Linked DNA regions of Rattus norvegicus. The protein of the gene in region 2 interacts with the protein of the main gene of each other region in a pairwise test. Links are inferred from orthologs where the notes say so. Each region holds a gene or a part of one and is shown on either strand. Other genes may lie near its edges.

Evidence for each region.
Region 1: the proteins of Arl6ip1 (region 2) and Ndrg4 interact in binary tests that used the Homo sapiens proteins (3 or more experiments, as listed by UniProt). The two-hybrid records come from large-scale screens. The link is inferred for Rattus norvegicus from reciprocal best matches to the Homo sapiens genes ARL6IP1 and NDRG4.
Region 3: the proteins of Arl6ip1 (region 2) and Shmt2 interact in binary tests that used the Homo sapiens proteins (3 or more experiments, as listed by UniProt). The two-hybrid records come from large-scale screens. The link is inferred for Rattus norvegicus from reciprocal best matches to the Homo sapiens genes ARL6IP1 and SHMT2.

What each region holds. Positions count from the first base shown.
Region 1 is NC_086037.1:9,389,561-9,394,804, forward strand, and holds the start of Ndrg4 (protein NDRG4 isoform 1 precursor), read right to left. Parts: upstream 3,413-5,244; 5' UTR 3,305-3,412; coding exon 3,268-3,304; intron 1-3,267. UniProt on the Homo sapiens protein: Contributes to the maintenance of intracerebral BDNF levels within the normal range, which is necessary for the preservation of spatial learning and the resistance to neuronal cell death caused by ischemic stress.
Region 2 is NC_086019.1:181,870,791-181,875,821, reverse strand, and holds the start of Arl6ip1 (ADP-ribosylation factor-like protein 6-interacting protein 1), read left to right. Parts: upstream 1-1,589; 5' UTR 1,590-1,644; coding exon 1,645-1,680; intron 1,681-4,178; coding exon 4,179-4,312; intron 4,313-4,758; coding exon 4,759-4,878; intron 4,879-5,031. UniProt on the Homo sapiens protein: Positively regulates SLC1A1/EAAC1-mediated glutamate transport by increasing its affinity for glutamate in a PKC activity-dependent manner.
Region 3 is NC_086025.1:65,246,156-65,251,190, reverse strand, and holds the start of Shmt2 (serine hydroxymethyltransferase, mitochondrial), read left to right. Parts: upstream 1-1,623; 5' UTR 1,624-1,735; coding exon 1,736-1,768; intron 1,769-2,980; coding exon 2,981-3,178; intron 3,179-3,674; coding exon 3,675-3,754; intron 3,755-3,919; coding exon 3,920-4,120; intron 4,121-4,340; coding exon 4,341-4,422; intron 4,423-4,519; coding exon 4,520-4,642; intron 4,643-4,740; coding exon of another isoform or gene 4,741-4,777; coding exon 4,778-4,917; intron 4,918-5,035. UniProt on the Homo sapiens protein: Catalyzes the cleavage of serine to glycine accompanied with the production of 5,10-methylenetetrahydrofolate, an essential intermediate for purine biosynthesis.

The DNA of each region.
Region 1 (5,244 bases), on a different chromosome or scaffold from region 2:
ACTCAAATACAGACATACATAGACACACACAGACAGACATACATACACACACACACACACACACACACACACACACACACACACACACACCAGTCCTCCAGAGACAGAGGCAGGCAAATCTCTGTGAGTTTTCGGTCAGCCTAGTCTACACAGACTAGATGGAGCTATGGGGTGAAGCCTTGTCTCAAGGGACAGGAAAAAGAAAAAAGAAAAAGCCAAGATCCTCAGACTTCAAAGGACCCTGGTCAAAGCTCCAGTCTGCCATGTGAGAGCTCTCTGAAACCATCTTGGAAACGTACTGTTGGAGTAGAAATACATGAGAACAGCTGCTGTACAGTCTGCAGACAGACAGACATCCCACCGCCACACAGAACACGCAAAAGAAAAACCACCGACTGCACCAACCTCCATGCCCACCTCTGAGGGCTGGGAGACCAAGCTGCCATGCCTGCCCCTGAGGGCTGGGAGGGACCCGTGTGTGAACTGACATTGGTCCGGGCTTTTTCATACTTCTGAGGTCTGACTCGACATCCCAAACTGCTGACAAGTCTGGAGCTCAGGGCTCAGCACTGCCCAAAGAGCAGAGATGCAGAGAGGACCCCTGAAGCTCACATCCTCTGGGGTCAAAACTGCCTGCTGCCTCTCTTCATTTGTGGCAAGAACCCCCCCACCCCACGCCTCAGGGAGCCACCTGGAACCTCTGGTTGTCCTCTGTTCTCTTTAGGACACTGGGTCCAGGCATTCTCTGGTCCCCACAGGAGGGGCACCTGCTGTGGGCATCAGGACATCAGGGTCCAACCTCGTATGATGGAAACTGAGGCCAAACCAAGCTCCCCAGAAATAGATCTCAAAGAGGTCTACTGTACAAAGAACCCAGTAAGAGAGCTAGGATACCCTGAAGGGGACAGGAACCCTCAGGGCACTGAGGGATGAACTCAGAGGCCAAGGGAGGTCACCACCAGATGCGGCAACATTTGACAAGCATGCTCCCACGAAGCGTGGAATGGTTTAGTCTGGCCCACAGTTGAGCAGGTAGGACACACGTCACCCACTCTCAGCCATGCAAGTGTGGGAGAGTGGCCAACCCCGTTGTCAAATAGGTATGATGGTAAGATGGAAACTATAAAAACTACTGGAAACAACCTCGAAGGGGTGGATGAGGGCAAGGATCCAGAGGCCTCTGCAAGATCGTCCAGGGGACACAGTCAAGGAGCAGGATGCATGAGCTTAGACCAAGCCAAGAGGTGTGAGCACTTGTACAATACCACAGTAATCACCCCGCTACCTGCACAGCACTCCACGGAGATGAGTAAAAAAAAAAACCTCACTGCTGCCTGTCAGCGGGGGTAACGCGGAGTGTCTGCGGCAGATCCCAAGTCCTTACTAGCCAATGAGCCAAGGCAGGTAGAATCCTTCATTACCAGGGAAAGCAGCCAGAGGGGAGATAGGCCTCTGAGGTTCTAATCAAATGAGTCACTTGCTCTGTCTCAAAAGGCCCCATAACATCTCTTAGGCGTCTGTTTAACCTCCATCTTATGAAGGAGACGGACGTTAAACGACCTGTTTGAAATCACAACCAGCTGTGGCTGGAGTGTGACTCCACATCTATGAGGCAGGAAGAGGACATAAGGAGTTGGGGGTGGTGAGGAGGAGGGGTCGTGAAGGAGACAAGAAGGGGTGTGAACTCATCACACAGCCCAGGCTGGCCCTAAATTCACCATGCTTATGCCACAGCTGAGCCTGGTACACTGGGAGCTTCTGACAGTGACAGAGTCCTGAGGAAGTCCTCGGAAGCCTGCCACGGAGCATCGAGGGCCTGAGGGCACACTACACACGGACCTCAATTTCCAGACCCTCACCGGCTATCTCCATTCCCTCTGAGGGCCAGATGGGGACGAGAGGACCTGGTTCTGCCCTCTAGGCGTTAGGGTCTGAGTGTTGGGAGTGAACCTGCTGCAAGCTCTGTTTCAGGTGCCGGTCATGAGGAAAAGCGGAAGGGCAGGTGTCAACAACACCCAGCCAGGGCTTCCAAGGCCCCAGGAATCTCCGCCTGCCCTTCTCCATGAGCCCAGCGTGACCCACTGTGGTTTAGCATACAGCCCAAACCCTCATCTGGCCTACTTTCCTCCTCTAACATCCCAGCACACGCACGCACACACACTCACACACATACATGCTAGTACACACAACCCAAACCTTCACCTGGCCTACTTCCCGCCTATAACTCCACCCACCGCCATTCCCAACACACACACACACACACACACACACACACACACACACACACACACACACCCTACAGGGTCATGCCACTCACACTCAGGGCACATGCAGAACACCCTTGGCTCCTTCAGCTTGAAGTGTGACCTCCTCCCTTTCCATGAACAGAAAGTTCTACTCTCAGTGTCCGTCTTCAAACGCAGCTCTGATCTCTGCGTCCCTTCAGATCCCTAACCCAGATCCCATTTCCTGGGTACACACACAGCGGGGCGGCCCCTTCCTCGCCTTACAGCAGCAGGACCCCAAGTGCCAAGAGGCATCTCTTGGAATATGTTCATCAACTTTACATGGTGTGCACCTAACAGAGGCTCGGTCAGCTTGGTCCAGTGGGATCTGGACCGGGGCTGTCCCCTCCAGCCCAGTGGGAACGGAAGCCTCCACTGATGCTGGACTTCATGTGTCAGGAGCAGCTTACCCTTCTGACACCCGGCCTCTGTCCTTGCTCCCTTTCCCATCTGCTCTACGCATCCAGCCTGGCCAAGGCATTCCAGGCACTGGCCCCAGGATGCCCTCAGCGGGACATCTAATTTCTTCTCTAGAGTGGCCCCAAGGTGGATGGCCCCAGCCATTACGGTTCAGTCTAGCTTCCCATCTTCCCAGGCCACTTGACTCTACTTCCAGCAATAAACTTTCTCCAGAGAGAAAGGTGGCTCTGACCATGACAGAAAACCCTTACACAGGTTCTCCCCACTTCCCTAGGAGGCCCAGGACTGCTTTCTCAGGGGACGTGCGATACTTGAAGACTGAGATTCCTGGGCTCCCCTTAGGGTTGCTAATCGGAGCTCCACTAGCGGGATACCGCAGGGGGCCTCCCTGGCGCTCCACCCTCCCAGACGCCGGCGCTCGCGGCTCAGTAGAGCCGGGCGTGCCTCAGGTTTCGCTCATCTGGGAACGCGCACCCGAGAGCGCCCCTTCCAACCCGGGCCACCGCGCCCGGAGCCCGCTCCAAATTGGAGAGCGGCAGTGGCAAGCGGCAAGCCACGGTACCTGTCAGCAGTTGGAGCCTGTGTCCCAGCACCTTCATCTCGGCGTCGGAGGAGCGCGCTGGGCCGCCCGGGGCGAGGCGCGCAGTAGCCGCAGAGAGGAGCGGCGGGAGAGCGGGAGCGGCGGGAGCAGCAGCCGGTAGTGCGGTGCGCTCGCCGCCCCCTCCAGCAGGGTTTAAAAAAATCCACCAATGGCACAGCCGCGCACCCCAAAAGGCACCCGCCGCCACCTGGCCGTGGTGAGCGCCGATGGGGGGGGGAGAGTGTGACACCACGCGGGAGGGGCCCCTCGTGAACAAAGACGCCTGCCGCCCCCAGCCCTCGCGGGCGGACGGGCGACAGCCGTGGTCTCCGGGGGTCCGAGCCAAGAAGGCGAGGGGTGGCTGGGAGACAGGGCGTCGCCCTCGCGTGGGCGGAAGGTGGCCGGGGGGCGGGGAAGAGAAGGTGCGGGACTGCTGTGTGGCTGCGCCTAGAGGAGATCCCAAGGGTGAGGGAGCGGCGACTCACCCAGGCTGCCGAGCTACACGGTCGCGGAGGCGTGAGCCTGGCCTGGACGCCGCCGCCCACGAGCCGTGCAGGTTCCCCGCACGAGCGAGCCCGGGAGCTGGGGGCGGGGCGGGGCGCCGCGGGGGGCGTGCCAACGTGGGTGGGTGGGCGTGGGCCGCGCTGCGCGTCCCGCTTGTTGGCTGGACGCTAGCTGTTGCGGGCTGTGGGAGTGGGCGGGAGGCTCTGCTGGAAGACCCACAGGCCTGGCCCAGACGCAATCTGCAGCACCCGGCCCGGCTCCCAGAGGTTCCCATCTCTTTGCACTGCGTTCCTTGCGGAGCGCCAGAGACGCAGACTTCGGGCTTTGTTTGGGCTCCCACGGGGAAACTAGGCCCACTCCCGCCACCTGTGACCTCTCCTCCCTTGCAGTCCGACCTCACCCACCGGTCTGGGGAGACGCCGTGGGAGGTTGGGGAGAACCAGGAGTTCAGTGGTCCAGGAGCCAACGCTCCTCTGCTTGCAAAGCCTGAAGGTTTCTGAGGAACTCAGGCCACTTCCTGGCTAAAGATGTTCTTTCTGGGCACCCCTGACGGTTTCACTCACACTGTGACTTCAATCTCCTCTCTGCTGTTCACTCTCCGTTATCAGGAGCCGGAGAAGGAACAGGACTTTACTTTCCCTGAACTCCCTCTACTGGGGTCTAGTCCTGGTTCCTCGGAAGGAGGGTCAAAGGCCCTGAAGCATCATAAACCCTGAAACTGGGACGAGATAAAGATTCCTGGAGACTCTGTTCAGGCTCTAAAGATGACTATGGGCCCCTTCCTTACCTTTTCTCTGGGTTCCTGTCTTTATGACCCACAGAGAAAGTACTAGACCAGGAAATCTCTGAGGCCCTGGCTGTGAGGGAGGAGAGTGTCAAGAGAAGCCAGCCCACCTCTTCTGACTTCTGAAACCTCTCGGTAGGAGGTGCTTTGCCATTAGGCCTGGGCTCCAGGTGGCCAGCACCTGAAGTAAATTAACCCCACGGCCAGCTGAGGAAGCAGCTGAGATTTTGAGGCTGCAGGTGGTGCACACCTGCTTATGGTTACTTACTGCTTGTGGTTGAAGGGATTCTAACATGGTTCTGCCAGGCCTTGCCCTTCTCCCGCATTCCCCGTGCCTTGCTTAAAAAACAAAACAAGGCAAAAAAAAAAAAACCCCAAACAAACAAAAACAAAAACAAAAAAACAAAACAAAACAAAAAACCCACTAGATTACATTCTTAAAGCTAGCCGCCAAGCTTTTCCCTTATTTGACTACTTCCTCCTCCGGAAGCTGAGGTCCAACTATCAAAGTATTGAAGTCTAGTAACCAAATGCCCTCTTTGGCTGCCATAATTAACATGCCCTATTAAAATTAAACAGCTCAACCTAACACAGGGTTTCCCCCTTTCCCTTTATAAACTGCCATTTTCCTATGGGCCACGTCTGTCTCCTGTCTATCCAGAGGCAGTCCT
Region 2 (5,031 bases):
TGGGTGAATCTCTGGTTTCTAGGCCAACCTGGTCTGTAAAACAAGTACCAGGACTGTCAGGACTACACAGAGAAACCCTGTCTCGAATAGCAAAAGAATGTATGAAGCTCAGTTTTAGCAATATTTAAAACAAAACTTTGACCCTTATTCTGAGTGAAAGAAATGAAAAGAATATTTGGGAAGAGTTCATTTGCTATGCCAAAGTTCTGAGGAAGATTAGTGTAACGGGCTTCATCATCTGACACATTTCAAAGGTCACTCCTCTTTGTGTTAAAAAAAAAAAAAAGATGTTTATAACCCTTGGGCCAATTTGCAAGGTCAGTGAGAGCTGGATTTGGACCTGGGGCTGTCCTAAATTTAATCTTAAATTTTACTTTGGGAACACCGATTAAACTTGAAGCTTTCTGAAGCAGTAGCCAAGTTACCAAGGTAGAAGTGACAGATTTTAAAAACCCTCTTTTTACTCTTCTGTCCTCTTAGAAAGTGACTTCCTGGTACCAGGTTAGCTTGGTTCAGCTGTTTTGGTCCTTTTGTTCTCAGTACTGAGGAGGCGAAGGAGGGAACTCCAGGCCTTACAATTTTCGATATGATTTATCAGCCGAGTCATAACCCCCCACCCCCACCCCCACCCCCCATAACACACACACACTCTGAGCTGCTTTGCTGGTCAAAACGTCTGACAAATTGCCCCTTTGATAGAACCACCGTGGGCCAGAAAGGACCAGGCTTATTTGGGCTCACTATGTGGTCTCTCAGGTTTCTTTTAAACTTCCAGGGACTTTAAAGAACCTGGTAATTTGCTTATTTATTTTATTTTTTAAAGAATATAAATCTAAGATAGTTGAAGTCCGTATTTAGCATGGCTTCCCCATAACACCCATTAATCAGTTCGAAGCGTTCCATCATCTGAATTGTTCCTCTACCCATCCATCCCTCCGAATGAAGCGCTCCCCTAGCTACCTGAAGTACTCAAATCAATCAAGTGAAGCGCCCCGCAAATGATTCCCCCAAAGTCTGGCTGCAAATGACGCCCTTTAAGAGTTCGTGCATCTTTCGTGTTCTCAAAACGCCTGTTAACACTGTTGGCGAAAAGGCAGCAGCATTAGGCACAGGTGCTCACATGGGGACGCTTGTCTTCCAGTCAGCAGGTGCCACGGGAACCTAAAAGCGTCCCTTGCCCATCTAGCCTCCGCATAGGATGCCACTGCGCATCCTCTACTCAGCTGAGCAGACAGGCCCCTCGGCGCCTTTGAGATACAGCAGAAGACAGGTAGGGAGTAGAGAGGCCACAAACGTTCAGGAAGATTTGGGTGAGAGACTAGCGACGGCGGTTGAACCGCTTCCTTCCGCTCCGCCTCCCGCGGGCCACACCCCTGCACTCTGATTGGCCAGAGTCTTTCAGCTCCGCGCAGCTTCACTCTCCTTTGACCTGGATTTCAAGTCATGCGCTAGCTGCCGGTTGGCCTGGCTTCCCAGAAGCCGGAGTGCGGTCTATCCAATGAGGAGCGAGTTTCGCGAGGGCTGTCGGGAAAGGCAGCGAGCCTATATAAGCGGCCTGCGGGGCGTTCCCCCCCGCGCTCGGGTTACCGTGCTGGTGTTGGGTTTGGTGTGTTCGCGCTCGTTGATAACCGTGCGTCTGGAACGATGGCCGAGGGGGATAACCGCAGCAGCAACCTGCTGGTGAGTCGCAGTGGTCAGTTTGTCTCCAGAGCTCCCGGATGGACCTCCTGGTCTTGGTGAACTACAGGGGCAGCCAGGCCTGATCCTGGGACTCCCTGCCCATCTCCACGGTGGTGGTCCTTGCTGCCGATCCCCAACGTCCCCCGGGGAGCGTGCACTACAAGGCTTGGACCGTGAGTGTGGAAATGTGAGAAGGGGTCTGTGGCAAGAAGGAACCTGGGTAGCAGGTTGGGGCACTCGGCCGCAAGGGGCCTTGTCTAGCGTTCCCGGCTCAGGCCGGAGAGACCTACCTGTTTTGCCCTCTGATCTTAATTTCATGTTTCGTAGATTATTATTATTTTTTCTTTTTTTCGGAGCTGGGGACCGAACCCAGGGCCTTGTGCTTGCTAGGCAAGCGCTCTACCACTGAGCTAAATCCCCAGCCCCTCGTAGATTATTTTTAATCATGATTCTTTTTTCCCTAAAACTTGGCGCAAGGATGGAGGGTCAAAGGGCTGCTACAGAGAATTAGTTTATCGCTGACACAGAATTTGTTGGAGTTGCTTGGTTGGAGTTCACCGCAGGAAGCTGAAAACGGGTTATGCGGAAAGGACAGTGGGAGATCCTGGCACTTGTCTGGGAACTGACGAGGGACTCACCGGACTGGTTGCAACTTTAAAATGATTAGCACAGATTTTTTTTTCTTTTTTTTCGGAGCTGGGGACCGAACCCAGGGCCTTGCGCTTGCTAGGCAAGCGCTCTACCACTGAGCTAAATCCCCAACCCCGATTAGCACAGATTTGAAGGAGCTGCAGGAGATGGTATTAAAGGAGGGCATGTTTGCTTCATTACAAGTTTTTGTTTTTGTTTTTTTAAGGCTAGGTTTTCGTGTATCCTGACCTATCGAGGTTAGCCTTGTATTTGTCATCCTCCTGTCTCCACCTCTCAAGCGCTGGGATTACAGTTGAGCATCACCAGGCCCTGTTTTAAATTTTAAACTGCACGTAGGCAAGAACGAAAGATCATTCCCCTCCCCCCGCCCTGTAATGTCATTCCCCAGAAAAGGCAGACCATATCAGAAATGAAAATAGCAATCAGATTTTAATCAGCTTTTTCACTTTTTCTGAGAGCCTAAGTGCCGACAAGTGACTTTGGGACAGTTTTGATTGTACAAGATTTTCAGTTTGTATTCGTGTTTAAATGTGAATGCCCTGTATCCTTGAATTCCCTCTACACAGACACACACACACACACACACACACACACACACACACACACAGTACATAAGCAAACAATCCAATAGAGATGCCTGCCCTGCATCCTAAATCTTACCCTACACAATACACATACACCAACAAACAATCCAGTAAGAGGATTAATTGCTGTACAGGGAAACTCCCACAGGAGAGGGCCTCTATTTCCATCAATGCAGTATCATTTTAAGGAGAGCAAGGCCATTAGTCTTATGTTTCCTGGATTTAAATATATTAGCCTCTTTGTGTCTCAGTCTCCTCATCTTAAAGTAGAGGTTGTAAGAATACCTTTTCCAGTTTGAGGAGCATTAATTGAAGTTTAACATGTAAAAGGTTAAGAATTTCTAGTGTGGGGTGACGTCAGAAGTTCTTAGTCACATATTTCATCTTTACTAAAATTAGCCTCAACCGTACTATCATTTGCATACTACTTTGTGAAAAGTTGATGTATCGGTTGAGCTTTGTGTGTTTGTGGTTCCTGGATGTTGAATCCAGGGTTCTGCACAGACTGAGCAACTGCTGGGTTCTAATTTCCTTCCTTTACTAAAGTCCCTGATAGGTCTAGGCCACAATAGCCCATGGTGAAGGTACGCTTTTGACTGGTTGTCGCATATGCAGAGAAACTTTGAGATTTAATTGAAATTCCATCATTAACAAGAAGAAGCCATTATGGAGAACTTTTAAGTGCTGAGGTCACATAATTTGGTTAGAATAGTTTTCTTTAATTCCACAGTGACTGCCAATACCAGAGTTATTCTATTATACTATTAATAGTATAAATACTATTATGTATTTAGTATTAAGGGAAAAGTTCTCCTGATGGATTTAGAAGGGCTTAAATCAATAAATTGACCAATCAACAGATCAATGCCAACCACCTGAAATGAGCAAACAGAATATTCAATTTAGTAATATTCTGAGCACTGCCTCATGGCTCTGTGGGTACATTGGGGATATTGGTTAACCATATTAAGCTCACCTTCATGAATATTGAAATACATTGTGAAACCTTGGCAGTATGATGATACATCATGGACATGTGTCCCAGTGCTAAAGTGACCATTAAAGCCTATGCTTTCTCCTGCCCACGGATTTTCATGTTTGTGTACCAAAAGTGCAGTTTTTCATGACTCACCTTGTTTAAGATAACAGTTTTGTTAAAGGCATTTTATGTGTATTTGATGACTTAGAAAGATTTTACTCACTTGAGCCACCAAAGTGTTGAGATTGGGGAAGTGACACTGTAACACTGTTGGTCATGCGTAGGCCGTGGAGACTGCAAGTCTTGAAGAGCAGCTGCAAGGCTGGGGAGAAGTGATGCTGATGGCTGACAAAGTCCTTCGGTGGGAAAGAGCCTGGTTTCCACCTGCCATTATGGGTGTGGTCTCCCTGCTGTTCCTGTAAGTGAGAGATTCTATTGCTAAATGCTCCGAGGGTTCATAGCCTATGCTTAGAGAAGCTTTTGTACTACATAATCCAAGAGGAATGCCTTTATTTCAAGCAGCTTGCCCACTTTCTAGAATTTGTAGTCCTTATGTAAAATTGTAAGTTAATACTGTTGAATAAATTCCAGACACTCAAACTCTTATTTCAACACTCTTGCTTTATATTATTTTCTACTAAATATTGAGGTCTCCAGAGTTTTTGACTATCGTTGTTTACATTAAGCACTTTTTTAACTGTGACAACATCATGCCGTGGTACCTCGAGAAAACCCTTTGTGAGGAAATTAGAAAGGAAACAGCACCATCTCTGAGAAGCTGAGGGTGAAGAGTGAACCTCTTTGACTAGGAATAATGACCACTGTGGTTCTCTAACCTTGGTTAATTTTCTTTGTTTTTAATAGGATTATCTATTATCTCGATCCATCTGTGCTGTCCGGTGTTTCCTGTTTTGTCATGTTTTTGTGCCTGGCTGACTACCTTGTTCCCATTCTAGCACCAAGGATTTTTGGCTCTAATAAATGGTAGGTGGCTCTGCATGATTAGTGTGCTGTGCTTAAAGAAGACGATTGTCTAGCCATCAGATATCTTCTAGGAGTTAGAGTCATTGCTCTTAAGTGAAGAATTTCATACCTAATTTCAAATGTATATCAAGAACTTTTAGTGCACTATCTAGT
Region 3 (5,035 bases), on a different chromosome or scaffold from region 2:
TGAACAAAGGTATAAAATGACTAAAGGAGGCCAATGGTTCTCAAAAACCGCTGCTTACTGGAATCCCCAAGAGGTATGGTTGTGTGTCTTTGAGAACCACTGAAGTAGAGGCCTTAAGATGTCCCAAGCCCGGGGTTGGGGATTTAGCTCAGTGGTAGAGTGCTTGCCTAGGAAGCGCAAGGCCCTGGGTTCGGTCCGGCACTAGGGAGGCAGAGGCAGGAGGATCTCTGAATTTGAGGCCAGCCTGGTCTACAGAGTGAGTTCCAGGATACATAGAGAACTTATGGAATGCATCTCTATATTGAGGGAATTTATTGTAATGACTTAAGTCTGTAGTCCAACTAACCCAACATCAGTCAGCTGTGAATGGAAGTCCAAGAATCTTGTAGTTGCTCAGTTCCACAAGTTACTCTTCTGTAGAAGTAGGTTCTGACAGAGACAGATGTGCTGGCAAGTAAGTGCAAGCAGTGGAAGAAGAGCGAATCTTCCTTCTTCCAATGTCCTAGTGTAGGCCTCCAGCAGAAGGTGTGGCCCAGATGAAAGGTGTGTACCACCATGCCTGGATCTGGAACTTGCTTTGTCTCAGGCTGACCTTGAACTCAGATCTCCTTGCCTCAATCTGGGATTAAAGGCGCATGTACTACCTTCCATGCCTGGGCCTAAACTTTTCATGGCCACTATGCCTCAAGATCTCCATGCCAAGATCTAGGTCAGAAACTTGTGTCTTCCAGCTTCAAGATCTGGATCATGGGTGAGCCCTCCAATTCTGGATTGTAGTTCATTCCAGATAGAGTCAAGTTGACAACCAGGAATAGCCATTACAAACCCTGTCTTGAAAAAAGCAAAAACAAAACAATGTCCCCAACTCAATTGGAGTCTTCCCTGGAGAGAACAGTATATACCCCACTCAAAGGTTTACTCAGACCAGTTTCAAGAAAGTGGGCAACGGCTGGGGGGATAAGCAACATGTAAACAAGGAATGCAACACCCATGGCGGGTGGGGATGGGGGGGAATCATGTTCACATGCAAAGTTTTATTTAATCCCTTCTACAAGCTCTTTGTGTTGGAGGCATCAAGGTGTGACAGGCTCATATGTGTTCCACTGGCTTCTAACTTCATATGTAGCTGGGTCTAACCTTGAACTTTTAATCTTCCCTAGAGTTAGAATGACAATGGAAGAAATGGAGGACCAGAGGGGCTGTTGTGCTGTAATCCGAAAGCAAGGATTTGAGTCTTTTAACAAACTATATTTGTTTCCACTGCGTGATACGTGATAGTTATTTACCTTCTATATATGTCTTGAATCTCCCAGAGGACATATACTGGCTCCTTGGTAGGCATAAACCACATGAAAACAAACAAACAAACAAACAAACAAACAAACAAACAAACCAAAAAGCACGTCTGGACAACCGGCAGGAAAAAAAGAAAACAAAAAGTCTGAAGAGCTTCAAGGAAGGACACGGAAGAGCTCTAAGTCTCTTTCAGGCAAAGCTCTTTAAACGGGGGGTGGGGAGGGGACGACAAGTATATGTGGGAAAGGATAAAGGAAAAACTACAATTCCCAGAAGGCAATTTTAGAGATCAGTGTTGCGCACGCGCAGGGAACGCCCCTTTAACTCGGACTTCACGGGGGCATTTTCTCGCGCATGCGCTCTAGAAGCAGCCGGTTTCCGACCCCGGTACTACACCAATACAAGTTAGCGGCTGGTCCTCCCGTGGCCTCCGGTGGCGATGGTACCCTTCTCTTTACTTCGGACCACTCGGGTAAGAACAGGGTTCTGGATACTGGATGACCAGTGGAAAGGCCCATCCCACTTTTTTACAAAGTGGGGTTTCTCTGGCTCCTCGCCGCACGTGTTCTGGGGCCTCGGGGAACGGATGCTTCACCAGGAAATCCCTGAGACAGCGCACGTGCGGTGCTTGGGCTCCTAGTTCTGGCGATCAGACGTCCTAGGGTCTTGTAACCGCTCAGTTAACGAGGCACTTAAGGTAAAGATCCGCAGACGCTGTGTTAGCAATACCCTAGCGAACAAGTGGGGTTCCCGGCTTCGATGCGCTAGTTGAATTTTTCCCGCTAGCTCTGAGCTATGGAGATGATGCAACCGAGCCTCAGTACTTTCATCACGCAAGGGTCCTGCTGCTTTGTGGGCAGGAAGAAGGTAGCGAGGTGCTGTGTGTGTGTATATATATTATATGAGTATGAGATAAAATTAAGATTTTTGGCTTCCTTTTGGGCAAACACTTTCGCCCTACCCCCATTCCCGCCAGTACACACCTCTTTCCAAGAACTGTTTAAAAGTTCTTCTACTTGAGTTGCTCTGGAAACCACCCTTAATCAGCCTGTGGTGTTAAGCCCTGTTAACTTGATATCTTCTCTCATTGGAGTGCTGGTGGATGGAGGCCCTGCAGGAAGTCCGCCCCTTTATGGTCACGAATATTTTGACTGCACTATAAGTGCACTGCGTGCATGCCCGGGTACTCACAGAGGTCAGAGCAGGGCTTCGGGTCACTTGGAACTGGAGTTCCAGATGGTTGTTAACTGCTTTTTGGGTGCTGGAAGATGAACCTCTGTCCTCCACAAGAGCAGCTGGTGCTCTTAACTACTGAACCATCTCTCCAGACCTTTTGTTCCTGTGTGCGGGCGACTCTGGTATCTGTGTCTCTCACCAGAATTTGGGAGACGTGGATTTCTGGAGCGCAAGCTTTGCTCTAGAGTGACTTTGCAGAGTCACTCAGGGTGATGTGGAGGGAGATTGAGAGTGCGCTGTGTCAGAATCGCCCTTTGGATAGTGATCTGACCCTTTGACTCCAGAACTAGCTTTTCCAGATGAAGGCTGGGGGTGGAGAGAGCTGACTGCTGGCTGGACCAGGCTGCCTACTCAGCCAGAGGGCTCTATCTGTACCCATGACCTAGGGCAACTGGGAGAGAAAGAGAACTGGACAATTTTTAATTAATCCTGGCTTTTCTGCCCTGAGCCTCTGCAGAGATGTGGTCAGCTGGTCTGCATGGCTGCCCGGGCCCAGCACAGTGAGGTGGCCCAGAAGCAGGCTGGGGAAGCAGCTGGAGGCTGGACGGGCCAGGAGAGTTTATCAGACAGTGACCCTGAGATATGGGAGCTTCTGCAGAGGGAGAAGGACAGACAGTGTCGTGGCCTGGAGCTCATCGCCTCAGAGGTAGGACGTGAGGGTATGGGGCAAAGAGCAAGCTTGCGAGCGTGTGTGCGTGCAGGGAACAACACGTCACCTTACCATGACTTCTCCACGCCTCCCTGTCAGACTCAAGCTTTTTTTCCTGGGCTTTTTCCCTCTCTTTACACTGTCCTCTGAAATGTAGGGCAGGACCAGTTTATGGGGCATGGGTGATAGGGAACTTCTAGAGCCATACGGCCCTGTCTCCTCCTTACCTCCTCCTCTAGTCAGAAGAGAAACCCAGAAACACAGGTTGAGTGGACGGGTGGCCCTCTTACTGGGGCTACCCGTCACGGTGGCTGAGTTTTTCAGAACGTTGCCTCTGGTCCCGCCTCAAGCCTGGCGAGGAATACAGAGCTTTTTTGTGTATCCTGTCTCAGCCCCTGCAGCCTGTGGGCTCTGGCAGGGGTGGGGCCATGGGAGTCCAGGGGAAGGGAGGCTCATTGCCTTCTGACATTGCCCCCCCCCCCCACCACCCCAGAACTTCTGCAGCCGAGCTGCGCTGGAGGCCCTGGGGTCCTGTCTCAACAACAAGTACTCGGAGGGTTACCCTGGCAAGAGGTGAGGCTAGACCAGAGGGCTGGAGGGCAGCAGCAGGGATGGCACCCCCAGTCGGAAACCTTCCCGAGCCCTGTTAGTGTTTATGGAGCAGCGGCTGCCTAGTCCTTTGCTGCTGGTCAAGGACCCTTTCTCTGCATCCTTCCTTATGTGCCGTCTCCACGCCAGATACTACGGAGGAGCAGAAGTCGTGGACGAGATTGAGCTGCTGTGTCAGCGCCGGGCCTTGGAAGCCTTTGACCTGGATCCTGCACAGTGGGGAGTCAATGTGCAGCCGTATTCAGGGTCCCCAGCCAACCTGGCTGCCTACACCGCCCTTCTGCAGCCTCATGATCGAATCATGGGGTTGGACCTGCCCGATGGGGGCCAGTGAGTATGGGCGGGCTGAATGATGGGGGTTGCTGGGCAGTAAGGACACAGGACAGGAGTTAACCATCAGGCCCTGTTCCAAGTTACATTGAGTACCCAGCATGGGGTAGGCAGAGCAATGGGGGTGAGGGAAGCTGGAACTAGTGTTGCAGGGACAGGCCTGCTAGGTGGCTGATTCAGTCAGGCTACATAACTTTAGTGAGCCCTCCCCTCTTTGCAGCCTCACCCACGGCTACATGTCTGATGTCAAGCGGATCTCTGCCACCTCCATCTTCTTCGAGTCCATGCCGTATAAGCTCAATGTACGTGTTCCAGGGGCTGGCCTCCTGGCCAGTGGGAGCTCTGGGCAGCCCTCAGCCCCTAGGAGCATTGGCTTTATCTGGCTCTCTGTCTGTCTAGCCCCAAACCGGCCTCATCGACTACGACCAGCTAGCGCTGACTGCTCGGCTTTTCCGACCTCGGCTCATCATAGCTGGCACTAGTGCCTATGCCCGCCTCATTGACTATGCACGAATGAGAGAGGTCGGTGAGGGAGTGCCAATCAAGCACTCCTCTATGCCAGGGGGTGGGGCCGGGGGCGGGGCTGGGCGGACAGCTGCCCTTACTGTATACCTATACAGGTCTTCCTCAGGCTGAGATCTGTCTCTACCTGCCCAGGTGTGTGACGAAGTCAAGGCACACCTGCTGGCAGACATGGCCCATATCAGTGGCCTGGTGGCTGCCAAGGTGATCCCCTCACCTTTCAAGTATGCGGACATCGTCACCACCACCACTCACAAGACTCTTCGAGGGGCCAGGTCAGAATTCCCTGGGGTCAGATCTTGCTAGGGGACTTTAGGGTGGACTGAGGTGGGTCCCTTCTACCCCTACCTGGAACCCAATGCAGCCTCCCAGTTGAAGGGACCTGGATCCTCT